3 linked regions of the Macaca mulatta genome follow. The protein of the gene in region 3 binds, or shares a complex with, the protein of the main gene of each other region. Links are inferred from orthologs where the notes say so. Each region holds a gene or a part of one and is shown on either strand. Other genes may lie near its edges. The genes, in order: PRKAB1, PRKAB2 and PRKAA2.

Region 1 (4,669 bases), on a different chromosome or scaffold from region 3:
GAACTGATGGTTTTATAAGCGTCTGGCATTTCCCCTGCTTGCTCTCATTCTCTCTTCTGCTGCCCTGTGAAGAGGTGCCTTTTACCATGATTGTAAGTTTCCTAAGGCCTCCCCAGCTAGGCGGAACTGAGTCAATTAAACTTCTTTTCTTTATAAATTACCCAGTCTCGGGTATGTCTACATAGCAGCCTGAGAATAGACTAGCAGACTAGGTTTGTGTAAGTACACTCTACGATGTTCACACAATGATAAAATCACCTAATGATGTATTTCTCAGAACATGTCCCTGTCATTAAGTGATGTATGACTGTACATGAAAATTTAAGAGGAACAATTCTAGAGCTGTCAACCTGAAAATGGGCAAATTCAGATTTTGAGGATGGGGAAAAACTGCTCACAAAGTTCTGTCTAGGGACTGGGGAATAAAGCAAGACAAAGACTGAACCCTCATTAGGATAAAGGATAACCTCGTGTGGTAAGTTCCGTATAACTGAGGTATTCCAGAATAAGAAACTCATCCAACTCTACCTGGATGACATATGTAGTCATGCACCTTTTAGATTTTTTCCTAGTCAGGAGCCAAAGACTTAAAAAGAGCAGAGGGTTCTGGCTGGAAGACTCTTTAGGGAGTTAAGCAGGCTTCCAGCCCCTTCCTTTCAAATACCTCAGCTTATCCAAATGATGCCTGCATTCGCTGAATTCTAACAAGATCTACATATTAAATAACAGACTGGAATCACTTCACACTAAGAATAACTATACCCAAAATAGCGCACTAGTGTAATTAAAAGAATTCACGACTTTTTTGGTATCTGGGGATTTCAGTAACTTCTAATGAAGTGAGAATGGACGCTGCTTGAAATCATTCCCCATAGATTATGTGTGTGCTCAACATTTGCTGGAGGTGTTTTGGAATAGTAAAAGAACAAATACTTCTTGAAGAAAGTAGTTCTTTCTTTGGTGAAGAAAGACACCAAAGTAGTTTGATTCTTTTGGTGTCTTAAATAGCCTTCTTGGGACCAGGGACCAAAATTACTTCCTGGGGAAAGGACGTCATTAGAGAAACATGATTCTAAAGTTCACTTTGCACACAGCTCTTCAAGAATGCAACAAATTCAGAAAGCAAGTTCAAACCACAGGTTGCAGGCCCACATAAAAGCAGGCTTCTTGTAGTTAGGCTCAAAACAGATCCAAAAGAAGGTGTGAGATGTGATCACCTCGCTCAACATGAGGACAAACACAGATGGAATGAGTTGCCAGGCAATTAAATGGATGATGATTAACATGAAATTGGATACTAATAGGTATGTTGGGCAGAGGGCAGCTTTATCTTTCCCAAACCTACTTTGTTCCTTGAAACAATTAGTTCCTTTCGGACATAACACATAAATACCATTAAATGTCCTTGGACTGAACCCTGAGGCTGGAAATATCCACCATATGAAGGTGGTTAACAGGAGTGTGGCTGAAGCAGGAGTCAAATCACCTGAGCTTTTGATGAATTTAAACAGGCTGCAGCAGGAAGAAAAATGTTTGCACTGGCCTACTTCAGCGCGATTAAGTCATATTTAAACAACACTAGAGGGAAGTTCAGTGGCTGCTGGCTGCCTCCTTCCAACAGACCCTCATTACCCACTGACCTCTGTAAGTCCAAAGACTTTTCTATGTACGCTTTAAAAAAAAAAAAAAAAGCAGGGTGAGGCTGGGAGTGGTGGCTCATGCCTGTAATCCCAGCACTTTGAGCGGCCCACGCGGGCGGATCGCTTGAGGTCAGGAGTTCAAGACTAACCTGGGCAACATGGTGACACCCCACCTCTACCAAAAATACACAAAATTAGCCGGGCATGGTGGCTCACACCTGTAGTCCCAGCTACTCGGGAGGCTGAGGCAGGATGGCTTGAGCCCAGGAGACGAAGGTTGCAGTGCGCCGAGATTGTGGTTCTACCCTCCAGCCTGGGCAAGAGAGCGAGACTCTGTCTCAAAAAAAATTAAAAAAATAAATAAATAAATAAAAATAACTAGGGCGAATCAAGTGTTGGGCAGAACTAAACACCTCTGGCAACCGCCGTCAGCTGTTCCGCTCAACTTTCAGCTTGTATATGTACCTGGTTTGCCTCCAAAATGGATAATAAACTCCCAAACTAACTTTTACAAAAGTTCCAGTTTGTGTAAAGGTGAGAGAATTTGTCTCAAAGCGGTGAAATTAATTACACCTAAGAAAAGCAGAAGCTAGGTTCAATTACTGTTAGCTGACTCTGAATTAATTAAGAATTTGAAACTGTCCCAGAGCTGCTTTCTCCTTAATGCTGTTAAACGAAGTGAGTGCCTCCTCCCTCAGGGTGACTTTCTCATATTGGTAATTAGACTTAGGTTCTTGGACCGCTAAGAGGACTCTTACAGGACCATCTGGCTTTTAAGTGCACCGGGTAATGTACCACCTCCCTCCCCGTTCTGGTGGTTTTCGAAAAGATGTGACGGTAATCTAGTGGAGGGTTTCTCTCCTCAACATTAGTCAAGGGGAATCGGATTCCTGCACACTGCTCGCACCTTGATTTCCTCGGAGTGGAAGAGGTCGGCGTCTTCGGGGCTGTCCATCAGGATCTTGGGCCTGTCCCCGTCCTTGGTGCCCCCCGAGCTGTCCCTCCGGGGCGTCTTATGGCCACCATGCCGCTCCAGCGCGGCGCGCTCACTGCTCGTGTTGCCCATGATGAGGGTCTGCGGGGACACTGGGAAGCCGGACGGAGCCTCACTGCAGGAAAGGGACCCTGTGCAAGGGACTCCCAGAACCGCGGGTCCCAAGGAGCCTGCGGAAGGGAATCGGAGCACCGGGATACCACGCCCCTCGGGCTCGGGCCGGGAGCCGGTTCTAGCCGAGTCAGCAGCGTTGCCGAGTTCTCGCAATCGCGCTTTACCTGCCCAGGCAAGCTGTGGCGAGAACACAAGGAGCGCGAAAATAAACCGACACTTTCCCAACCGCTCCACCACCCCTCAGCGACTTCCGCTTCCGGCTACTCCTTAAGTCGGCCCGGCCTAGGGCGTGGTAGTGGCGGCGGCCGGCTAAACGCGCGAGGCTATCTAGATTCCATTTCCGCTTCCGGTCTTGAGCGGTGCGGTAACAGGTGCCCCGAGGCTGTCTCTGCAGGTCTCAGAGCGCGCAGTCGCAGTCGGCAGCCGGCCGCTCAGGGCCCGGCCCGGGACCAGGCGCTGCCGAGTGCCGGCAGGGGGCACCCCAGGGCGCCGGCAACCTGAGCCGTTCAAGCGCTGGGCTGAATAATGCCATTTAGATATATTTGCCCATTTTTAGTTGATTCTACACTCTACAGCCAGAGGGATCTTTCTAAAATGCAAATCTGATTCAGGAACTCCTCTTCTTAAAGCCCTTTTAGTGCACGTGCTCTCACGCTTTACAGTGCATTAGATTAACCTGGAGCGCTTGTTAAATGCAGCCCGCACTGCAGACCTGCAGAGAATCAAGATTTCTGAAGATTAGAGTCGGGGGTGCAGGCAGTCTTGCAGGTATTTGAGAAAATGGCAGACCATAAGATCTCTGGAAATTTTTTATGTCTAGTAGGTTGGGGGTTGTAAAATGCTGGAGTTATTAGTGTATTTTTATTGAGTGTGCAATCTTTTGATAGGTAATTTTGCAAGATATCTTGTAATCACTTCTGCAACATCCTTTTGCATAAGATGCATTAGCGTTTGTCATTTACTCTGGCCAGTGCTTCAACAAGAAGTGCATACAAATACGGTAGTAAAATATTCTCATCTTCTCACTGTCAGTCATTGTCATATTTTGTGGGTTTTATGGTGTGTGAATATCTCAAAATACTTTGCATTTGCCAGGTCAGGTCATGCATTTCACATACTGAACATTATTTAGTACCTAAAAAATTACCAGACATTGTGCTAAGGAAATGAGGAACACAAGATTACTAAGATAAGGTTTCTTGGAGAGAATTCGGCAGTATGCATCAAAATTAAAAAATGCACCTTCATTTTGACACACAATTTTACTCCTAGGAAACTTCTGCAGAAATACACACATGAAAATTATTTACAAGCATTATTTACAAAATATTTACATGCAAAAATATATTCTAAGATGCACCTGTCACCCACCATATCCCCATATATTTTAGTTTCTGAAATTGGATGCTTTTTACAATCAATGGAATCATAGACTTGGTGAAATAAGGAAATGAAAAACTACAAAATCCTAAAAGTTGTTCAGTAGAAGAATGGCAAAATGAACGGAATACATTCATTTTGTAGAATACCAAGCAACTTTTAAAAAGGAAGAAACAATTTTTCGGTCACTATGGGGAAGTGTCTATGATATTGCAAGGTCCAGGAGCAAGTGAGAGAACATGTTCAAGAGCGTGAGCTCTGAATTCAGCCTGCCCGGGTCAGATTCTGGCTTTACCATTTAGTAACTGTTACCTTAGTCTCTTTTGTGAAATGGGAATAAAAATAACACCTACTTTATAGGCTTGTTTTGTGAATTAATTGGAACGTGCATAAAAATGCTTAGCATAGCACTTGACTCTTAGTAAACACTCAATACCTGTTAGCACTTTTATTGGCACTATTAGGCTTGCAAATGGAAACTTCTGGAAGGGTATACAACACATTGTTAATAGTGGTCTTCTCTGGGGAGAGGAGGGAGATT
Region 2 (4,669 bases), about 65 Mb from region 3:
GTTCAAGCGATTCTCCTGCCTCAGCCTCCCGAGTAGCTGGGACTACAGGCATGCACCACCACGCCCAGCTAATTTTTTTGTATTTTTAGTAGAGACCGGGTTTCACCATGTTGGTCAAGCTGGTCTCGAACTCCTGACCTCAAATGATCCAACGGCCTCGGCCTCCCAAAGTGCTGTGATTACAGGCGTGATCCACCGCGCCCGGCTGTGACGATGTTATCAATTGAGATCCAAGGAAATAAATCATGGAATCCAAATTCCACGTGCTACCAATATGACAAATAATACTCTATTCACTCTCTAAAGCCCCAGTTCCCTGGGAAGTGACGAAATGATAGGAAACATCAAACACACCCCAATCTCCTCAAGCCCTCCATTTTTCTATCTCATCCAGTCAGTCTACCTGGAGAAACTACATGTATTTCATGCTGACAGCTCTAAAAGCGATTAGAAACATTAGAATGGTAATCGCTGCTATCAGCTCCATCTGTCCTTTCTTACAGAGTGAAAAAACAAGTTGGCTCTTCCTGAAAGTCCTTGGAATTGAGAGCAAGGTCTTCAAGGCAGCTATGGATTGTCGCTTTTTAGCCACGCAACATTTTGAAGTACTACTGGAGAGTAAACAAGTCGTGGAATCATTGGCTCTTCCACCTGCGGAGCAGCAGCGGGGCGTGAAAGAGGCACAGCCTCAGCCACCACAACTATAAAGTATGGGACAAAAATTAAGCAGTCAACCAAATGATGTCCTTAATTGATCCCCAAGACTAGGGGAAAGTATTCAATAAGCAAGTAGTTGCTGCTTACAGCCGTGCCAAAAGGGAAGAAGATCACAAGTGCAGAGCTGCTAGAAGGGCAAAAATGATACTGATACATAGAAATTTTCAGAAAAAGAATTTCATGTAGCCACCTCAGGGCAAAGGTGAGAAACTACCACCTATGGTCAGCAACTCGTGCAACCTACCCTCTGAAGTTGTCCACCAGGGCTAACAAACTACAAATTCAGCAACGCTATAGAGGAGAGCCACTCGTGCATGTTAGGAAGAACCAAGGATCGGGGATGTCTATTGTCCCCATCCTAAAAATGTGGCCAACAGATTAGTCAGAACACCAGGAAAACAAGAACTCCGCCTCTTTATCCTATTTTGAGGCGGCACTGCAAGAGGGATTACCATCCAACACCTCTGTCCCCGAAAAATCCTTTTAATTCAAAAAACCATAGCCCGGTTCGGCGCGGCAGAAAAGAACCAAGAAAGGGAAGAGGAGCCCGGAAATCAACCCGCTGCAGTACTGCCACCAACTGCGGGCGTGGGACGCTTACCTTGGAGTCGGGGAGGCTGAACACGCTGGGGTCGTCCGTACTGCCCACCATGATCTTGTGCTCCTTCCCCGGGGCATGACCGCCTGCGCCCTCGGAGCGTGCAGCCTTGGCACCGTGGCGCTCCCCGGACACCCGGTCGCTGGTGGTGTTTCCCATGGCTGCAGCTCGTCGGGGACCACCTACCGCGGAGAACCACACCGGGCTGGGAACACCTCAGTAGCCGCGTCAGGGGCGCCCCCCGGCCCCGCCCATACGCCTTGGGACGGGGCAAGGGATTTCCCCGCCCCAGGGAGGCCAAGCCCCGGAGCCTTCTCCCTCCTGGCCTGCGGGAATGCCTGCAAATACCCCGGTGCCCTCGCTGCCCCTAGTCAGGAAACCCGCTATCGGGACTCCCCCGCGTCCCCGCGCTCACTGCCAGGGGCGCCCCCACGCCAGTCACCTCGGGCGATGCGCTCCCTCCTCCAGGGACCACTGAAGTGATGACTGTTCTGCAGATCAGGCCACCAATAAAGTTATTGAAATTGAAGCCGCACCCCTCGCTGGCGATCAGCGATTCCTCCTAAAATGGCTACAAGGCCGGCGGCGCGGAGTCGGCCCCGTGCGCGTTCCCTGCGGCCTGCAGCCTCGGCGTCCCGGGCCCGCCGGCCTCTCTAGCCGCCGCCGCCTCGATGGTGGGCAGTCGCACGCAGCCTCCAGCGCCAGGAGGGGGCGCCAGGCAGGGCTTGTGCCGCCTGGGGAGACTGCACCCGGGATAATTGGAGCGCTGGGCCTCTGAGACTACCCGGCGGAAGGGACGTTCCCACAGGACACTCGGAGGCCGCCTCCCTGGGCTCCGGCGCTCGGTGCCGGGAGAAGCGACGCGGCTTTCTACCCCGCCTCAGGTGCGCCAGCACGTTTTCTGGGCAGCATCTGTGTGTTAGGCGACGGGAGAGGGGGGTTCCTTACAGGGAATAAGAAAACTGAAACTGACTTCCAACTGCAGGCAGAAGGAAGCAATGGCCATTGCTGGAGGTTAAAACTGTTCTGGCCGGGCGCGGTGGCTCACGCCTGTAATCCCGGCACTTTGGGAGGCCTAGGCGAGCGGATCACGAGATCAGGAGATCAAGACCATCCTGGCCAACAAGTTGAAACCTGGTCTCTACTAAAAGTACAAAAATTAGCTGGGCGTGGTGGCGCGCGCCGGAAGTCTCAGCTACTGGGGAGGATGAGGCAGGAGAATAGCTTGAACCCGGGAGGTGGAGGTTGCAGTGAGCCGAGATCGCGCCACTGCACTCCAGCCTGGCGACCGAGCGACACTCCGTCCCTCCGCCTCCCCGCCCCCCCCCCACAAGAAAAACCTGCTCAATAGGGAGCGACAAGGAAGGAGCTGTCAGCCCGACTGGGGTCGCAGGGAAAATTCAAGATGGCGTATTTAGGAGCTAGACCTTGACAAATTAGTAAAATGTTAGTCTTAGGAGAATAACGAAAAGGCTTTCCTAGTCTAAGAAACAGCATATGCAGTGAGAAACCTCAGAAGAAATAAAATTCAAGGAAGATGGCGACAACGAAAACATCAGAAGGAACCCTAAAGGTATAAAAAAGGCAAAGACAGTCGTAGGGTTGGGAGGGATCCAGGTTTTTTATGAAAATTAGTGGAATCCCTAAGGTACTTACCTTTGTATTAGAAGTATTTGCATGTCGCCTTCTCTACTAGAAACGTTTATCTGTGTTACACAGACCAGCAGCGTTGGCATCACCTGGGAGCCTGTTAGAAATGTAGAATCAGGCCCCATCCCCAGGGTTCAGAATCTGCATTTTAACAAGATCACATTAACGTGTGTGAGAAGCAATGCTTTGACAGCTGGCAGAGAGCAGATCCAGATTTGATACCTTTTCATATTCTGCATGTACCTTGTACAGAGCAGGCTTTTGTATTTGCGGAATGAAGGATACAGGAATACTGTTTACTGTAATCCATTTCTATCAAGATATGCCACTTAGGCTTAAACACGGCCAATGATGGAGAACCCCAAGTTACATAGGCCACCCTTTCTGAGTGAGCAGCTCTATTTGTTGAAAAGTTCATTTTTATATTATGAAGTTGACAGCCCACTTAAGTACAACAAATTCACTACTCCCCCATTCTTTGCTCTGCCCCTTATAAACTCATTCTTTGGCTCATAAACCGAAGACAGTTTACAGGAAGGAAAAAAAAAAGGTACGATTTTACTGCAACTTCTTGCTCACCCCTCTGAAATCTTTACTGTCTGAGTACATTCTTTTTGGTTATCCCTACCTTTCTCCCTCCACCCCTCAATTCCTTACCATAGGACACTGAAGCAAGGCCCTTCAAGGTGTGATACATTAAACCTTGACTTGTGTAGTATTCAGTTTTCTGACCCCAAGGTGGTTTCACCATGCCAAATAATATGTCCTTGGTATGTATTTCCTTGCAGTAGTGAAATCAGCTTAGCAGAAACAAACTAACTATGTTAGCCAATGGAAAACTGAAGGAGAGAAATAAACTGTTTTTACACAGCTAAATGGAAATGACTTTTGTATTATCTCCTTTGGAAGATTATCCATGACACTGTTCTGCCCTGCTCTGCTCTAACAACATTTGTAAGTTACTCAACAGTTAATAATAAAAGTCAATTTTGAATATTGCATGTTTTAGACACAGAACAAATGTAATATGACACTGTAGGAAGAATGAATTCTCCTTAGTCCCAAATTCCTTTTTTTTTCTTAGATTCAGGAATAAGTAGGTAAAGATACAAGATCTTCTTAACCAGTATCAGTATAATTGTTCCCTTTAGATTTATTGCTGTCACCCCAATGCTCTTCTTTCTTTTTTTTTTTTTTTTTTTGAGACGGAGTCTCCCTCTGTCGCCCAGCCCAGGCTGGAGTGCAGTGGCGCGATCTCGGCTCACTGTAAGCTCCGCCTCCCGGGTTCACGCCATTCTCCTGCCTCAGCCTCCCGAGTAGCTGGGACTACAGGCGCCCACAACCGCGCCCGGCTAATTTTTTGTATTTTTAGTAGAGACGGGGTTTCACCGTGGTCTCGATCTCCTGACCTTGTGATCCGCCCGCCTCGGCCTCCCAAAGTGCTGGGATTACAGGCGTGAGCCACCGCGCCCGGCCCCAATGCTCTTCTTTCTAAAGGGAAGGAAAAGAAGGGGCTAATAGGAAAAGTAATTGGTGGGGGTTGTCCTGATGTTACTGTGTCTAGGACATCATTGCCACTGGTCTCCTCAGATCGACCATTCTGCCTAATAAACAGGAAAATAACATGGGCAACCTCACATGCAAGCGTTTACACACACTGCTAAAGAGATCTCGCTTCCTCTGAGAGGTGAGGATGTGAGAATG
Region 3 (4,569 bases):
TTTTATGTATATTTGTTTAATCTCTATTCAGCTAAAATATAATCTTTGTGAGGAATGTTTCTTTTTATCCATAGTATGTCCTCAGTAAATATTCAAAAATAAATTAATCAGTGAATAGAAGACATTCAGTCAAAATATGTCTTCATCTGAACTTACGGGATGCCCAATTCTACCAGGTAGTAATGCCTGAACAATCTCGAAGGAGTAGTTTGTGTTAGATGAAAATAGTTTGATATTCTAGGATAACAATAGTAACATCAAGCGCAAAGGCCCAGAAGTGTGGGAAAATAAGGCTTAGGAGAGCAGTTCTCAAAATTTTTGATTTTAAAATCTTGTAACTCTTAAAACTTATTGAGGACCTCAAGGGGAATTTTTAAAAATGCAGGTTATATCTATCAATATTTACTGTATTAGAATTAAAACTGAGAAATTAAGAAAATATTTAATTTACTTAAAAATAACTATAAACCTACTACATGTTAAATAATACATCTTTCATGAAAAATCACCATATTTTCCAAAAAAAATTGTGAGAAGAATGACTTTATATCAAAGACAGCTAGGTTCTCATACCTTCTTCATTCAATCTGTTGCATTATTTTGTATTAGTTGAAGTGTATAAAGAAGGTCTGACCTCACTCAGATAAGTGGTTGGGAAAGAAAAAAAGTGTATTTATTATTATTAACACCAACTTTATCAGAAAGTCTTTAAGTATTGAGAAGCTGTGAAACTCATACAAATCATACTAAAGTTTTGCTTGAAAGCTTGAATTTTATCATTAGCAACAAATATTGCTGGTTGTTTTCCTTAAAGCGATGGGCTCGCTTTTTTCATTTTTGAGAAAATGTCGGCCAAATGCCAAGTCTTAATAACCATAGTTATTCAAGGGTAGTGGGTAATTAACTTGCTTAGGATCACATAGCTAGTAAGTGGCAGAGCTAGGTCTAGAGACCAGATCTTTTGATTATATTCTATTATGTTGCCCTATGTCTAAATTATTTGGACTTGCCAAAGCGTGTCTTACAATAGTGTATTGTGGTGTTTTTCCTAGAGAGCATGAATGGTTTAAACAAGATTTGCCCAGTTACTTATTTCCTGAAGACCCTTCCTATGATGCTAACGTCATTGATGATGAGGCTGTGAAAGAAGTGTGTGAAAAATTTGAATGTACAGAATCAGAAGTAATGAACAGTTTATATAGTGGTGACCCTCAAGACCAGCTTGCAGTGGCTTATCATCTTATCATTGACAATCGGAGAATAATGAACCAAGCCAGTGAGTTCTACCTCGCCTCTAGTCCTCCGTCTGGTTCTTTTATGGATGATAGTGCCATGCATATTCCCCCAGGCCTGAAGCCTCATCCAGAAAGGATGCCACCTCTTATAGCAGACAGCCCCAAGGCAAGATGTCCATTGGATGCACTGAATACGACTAAGCCCAAATCTTTAGCCGTGAAAAAAGCCAAGTGGCATCTTGGAATCCGAAGTCAGAGCAAACCATATGACATTATGGCTGAAGTTTACCGAGCTATGAAGCAGCTGGATTTTGAATGGAAGGTAGGAAATTATAATGTAATAAGATCATTTGTAGAAGTCATTTTTCTATATTGTAAGCTGCTCTGAGCTCCTGAGTTGAGTATTAAGCCCATCTTTTTCTAGTAATATGCCATGCACATTAAAAACAAAACAAATAACCTCTGTAAGGATGAAAAGTGGTTGATACTGGGAACCAACATATTTTGAATTATAGCAGTGTTCTTGGTCAAGAAAAAAAGGAATCAACTAGAAACCTTCTGAGAAAATAGCTTACCAGTTTCAGCATACATCATAGCAATGAAAAATCATGAGTGTCTTCAAAGATAGTATGTTTTTACTTTCTCTTTTTTTTAGGGAGGTTTTTTTTTTCTTTTCTTTTTAGGGAACAGAGGCAGGTGGTTGTAATAGCTAGTGGTCAGTACAAATTATATCAGGACATATTTATTCAGTCAATTAACACTTTTCTCCAAGTTGTGATATTCTCTCTTATTTGGCTAGTGCTTTTAATACTTATAGTATATTTTCCTTACTCTCACGCCACAGTTTGCTTTTCTTAAAAATTAGTGCTCAATTTCATTTCAGTTCTATTTGAATATATGTGTGGGGAGGGGCATTTTTTTCTTCGGATATGCCTTTCACTCTTGTTCTTTTCTTGAGGATTGTGAACTTTTAAAGGAAGAAGAAAAATGTGCAAAATTACCACATAAATATGCATTTGACATGTTCAAATAAATCAGTCATTTTCATTTTATTATCTGTACATGAAATAAATATTTTCTTAAAATCATTTAAAAAACAGATCTCTTTGTTTTGAAGCAGTCGTATTTAGTTAAAAAAGAAATGTTAACATTTTTAAAATTCTGTACTGAAACATTTTTGAAACTAGTACCACAGATGTTTTGAAAATCCAGAACCTTCAATGCAGTGTTTTTTTGTTTGTTTGTTTTGTTGTTGTTGTTTGTTTGTTTTTTTGAGACAGAGTCTCACTCTATTGCCCAGGCTGGAGTGCAGTGGTGCAGTCTTGGCTCACTGCAACCCAGGGTCAGGCTATCCTCTCACCTCAGCTTCCCTCGTAGCTGGGACTACAGGCGCCTGCCACCACACTCAGCTGATTTTTTTGGTATGCTTTTGTAGAGATGGGGTTTTACCATGTTGCCCAGGCCGGTCTCAAGCTCCTGGGCTCAGGCAGTCCACCCACTTTTGCCTCCCAAAGTGTTGGAATTACAGGCATGAGCCACCATGCCTGGTCCTCTTTGTTCCTTCTACTCCACAAGCATCCATGAACATGGTTCAAGCAGAGACTGGGCAACCAAATTATAATTGATGTTTTAGAGTTGATGCTTATCTAGAGTGAAAGCTAGACCCGATGTAATCTCTGGGTTCTCTTTTTCTTTTATATTTCACTTTTTTCTTCAGTACCCCAAATTTATTCAAGTAGCTTTTCCTTTAAATCTTAATTGCCATACAATACTGCTAGTGGGGATTAAATAAATACTGAAGTAAACTACCAGTAATATAAAAAAATTATTCAGATATTCCTTTCCTATCTCACCCCTATTAATTACTTATTTTGACCTTTTTTTGCATAAAAAGGGAGATATTTTGTAGTTGATTATTTTTATTGATTTTTCACTTTAGGTAGTGAATGCATACCATCTTCGTGTAAGAAGAAAAAATCCAGTGACTGGCAATTACGTGAAAATGAGCTTACAACTTTACCTGGTTGATAACAGGAGCTATCTTTTGGACTTTAAAAGCATTGATGGTAAGGAAGCTATGCATTGCATGAGCTCTGAGAAGATAAAACTTGGCACTAGTTGACCAGATGTTAAAATCATCTCGAAGACATCCGGTGGGTAGGTCATGCACTGGTTTTTAAGTAATCTTAGACTTAACCAAAATGTAAGTGAAGTGAAAAGGATGAAAGACATGTTGAATACCTCTTACCTGGCATCTTTCCACAAGAAGTATCTCCGTGGCATAAAAGAATCATTTGAAGTATTGGCCATGGAGCACAAGTAAGGAACAATAGGGAAGTAGGTTTCACTTTTTAAAATTAACTGATTTGTCAGATTCTTTGTCACATTTCTCCATTCATATTTTATTAGTTAGTATTGTAGTGTCTAAACTTTCCCCTTCATCACCTTTCCTCATCCTGGGTGGCCAGGGTGACCAAATAGGTCTCCATTGGGATTTGGGTTGGATTTAGGTACTCATGGCAATCAAGGAGCCAGAGGCATCAGGGAAAATTGTCATGTCCAAGAACTTAGTGTGTGCTAAGAATTAAACTTGGGTAAACCAAATCTGATTATTCATTTCAGAGGCCCAAGTGGGATAAAACCAGAATAAACTGAGGGTCAGGTGCTGGATGGAACAAAAATGGAACTGAGTTTAGAGTTAGGGAAGTTGTTTTAAACAAAGTATTTAAATTTTACTCTTGAACTACCATCAAATATGTACGGTAGTGTTTATATGGATCCCAGACCTCTTTCATCGAAATTACATGTTGTTATTAAAACACAGATCCCTGTGTTTTGGTCCTGGGAATCGTAGAATCTGCAGTTTTAACAAGATTTCTCTCACTTTGCCCCCCACTTCCCCAAGGCAATATATGATGGTAACTTTTATTTTTACCTTAATGATTTTTTTTGTTGATATGCTAGAAGAAAATAAGTTGTCAAGGATACGCTTTCTTCACATGAAGAGATATCAGTTTGATTGATGCCAGTATCAATGCCCAATACTCCGATTTGAGAAGGACTTAGAGGCCACATTTTGGCTGTGTGCACGTGTTGTGATTGGTAGCGATGTTTGTTATGATTGTTGGAAGGAAGAGAACTGTGCTTCTAAAACACTGAAACATGACATTCATTATTAAGTTGCCTTTGCTCAGATGTGTTTACTTAATATTCTGAATATCATAAATTCATAGGAAGGGCTTGGGCATATATACTTTTCATATAAATTGCTCTTCTTTGGTCCATTTCAGATGAAGTAGTGGAGCAGAGGTCTGGTTCCTCAACACCTCAGCGT

What was found.
Region 1: the proteins of PRKAA2 (region 3) and PRKAB1 are in contact, whole or in part, in a crystal structure (PDB 8BIK), measured with the Homo sapiens proteins. The link is inferred for Macaca mulatta from reciprocal best matches to the Homo sapiens genes PRKAA2 and PRKAB1. Residues at the interface, in NP_006243.2 of Homo sapiens: Gly9, Val11, Lys12, Ile13, Thr21, Lys29, Lys31, Asn48, Arg49, Arg53, Asp56, Val58, Ile61, Lys62, Ile65, Gln66, Lys69, Val82, Ile83, Ser84, Thr85, Pro86, Thr87, Asp88, Phe89, Phe90, Met134, Met164, Ser165, Asp166; in NP_006244.2 of Homo sapiens: Pro79, Thr80, Val81, Arg83, Thr106, Ser108, Asn111, Val113, Ile115, Gln154, Val155, Asp159, Phe160, Glu161, Val162, Phe163, Ala165, Leu166, Asp169, Ser170, Lys172, Cys173, Pro186, Tyr187, His188, Gln189, Glu190, Pro191, Tyr192, Ala202.
Region 2: the proteins of PRKAA2 (region 3) and PRKAB2 are in contact, whole or in part, in a crystal structure (PDB 6B2E), measured with the Homo sapiens proteins. The link is inferred for Macaca mulatta from reciprocal best matches to the Homo sapiens genes PRKAA2 and PRKAB2. Residues at the interface, in NP_006243.2 of Homo sapiens: Gly9, Arg10, Val11, Lys12, Ile13, Thr21, Asn48, Arg49, Val58, Gln66, Gln81, Val82, Ile83, Ser84, Thr85, Pro86, Thr87, Asp88, Phe89, Met134, Met164, Ser165, Asp166, Gly167, Glu168, Phe169, Leu189, Ala191, Glu194, Pro253; in NP_005390.1 of Homo sapiens: Val60, Ser61, Gln64, Glu67, Asp68, Ser69, Thr73, Gln74, Ala76, Pro78, Thr79, Val80, Ile81, Arg82, Ile106, Ser108, Val113, Ile115, Val155, Ser158, Asp159, Phe160, Glu161, Phe163, Asp164, Lys167, Leu168, Gln191, Met193, Tyr194.

The regions. Positions count from the first base shown.
Region 1 is NC_133416.1:126,946,123-126,950,791, reverse strand, and holds the start of PRKAB1 (5'-AMP-activated protein kinase subunit beta-1), read right to left. Parts: upstream 2,997-4,669; 5' UTR 2,707-2,996; coding exon 2,548-2,706; intron 1-2,547. UniProt on the Homo sapiens protein: Non-catalytic subunit of AMP-activated protein kinase (AMPK), an energy sensor protein kinase that plays a key role in regulating cellular energy metabolism.
Region 2 is NC_133406.1:118,946,238-118,950,906, reverse strand, and holds the start of PRKAB2 (5'-AMP-activated protein kinase subunit beta-2), read right to left. Parts: upstream 3,108-4,669; 5' UTR 2,972-3,107; intron 1,804-2,971; exon of another isoform or gene 1,758-1,803; intron 1,498-1,757; 5' UTR 1,475-1,497; coding exon 1,319-1,474; intron 1-1,318. UniProt on the Homo sapiens protein: Non-catalytic subunit of AMP-activated protein kinase (AMPK), an energy sensor protein kinase that plays a key role in regulating cellular energy metabolism.
Region 3 is NC_133406.1:183,919,779-183,924,347, reverse strand, and holds part of PRKAA2 (5'-AMP-activated protein kinase catalytic subunit alpha-2), read left to right. Parts: intron 1-1,052; coding exon 1,053-1,557; intron 1,558-3,174; coding exon 3,175-3,301; coding exon of another isoform or gene 3,302-3,357; exon of another isoform or gene 3,358-3,392; intron 3,393-4,525; coding exon 4,526-4,569. UniProt on the Homo sapiens protein: Catalytic subunit of AMP-activated protein kinase (AMPK), an energy sensor protein kinase that plays a key role in regulating cellular energy metabolism.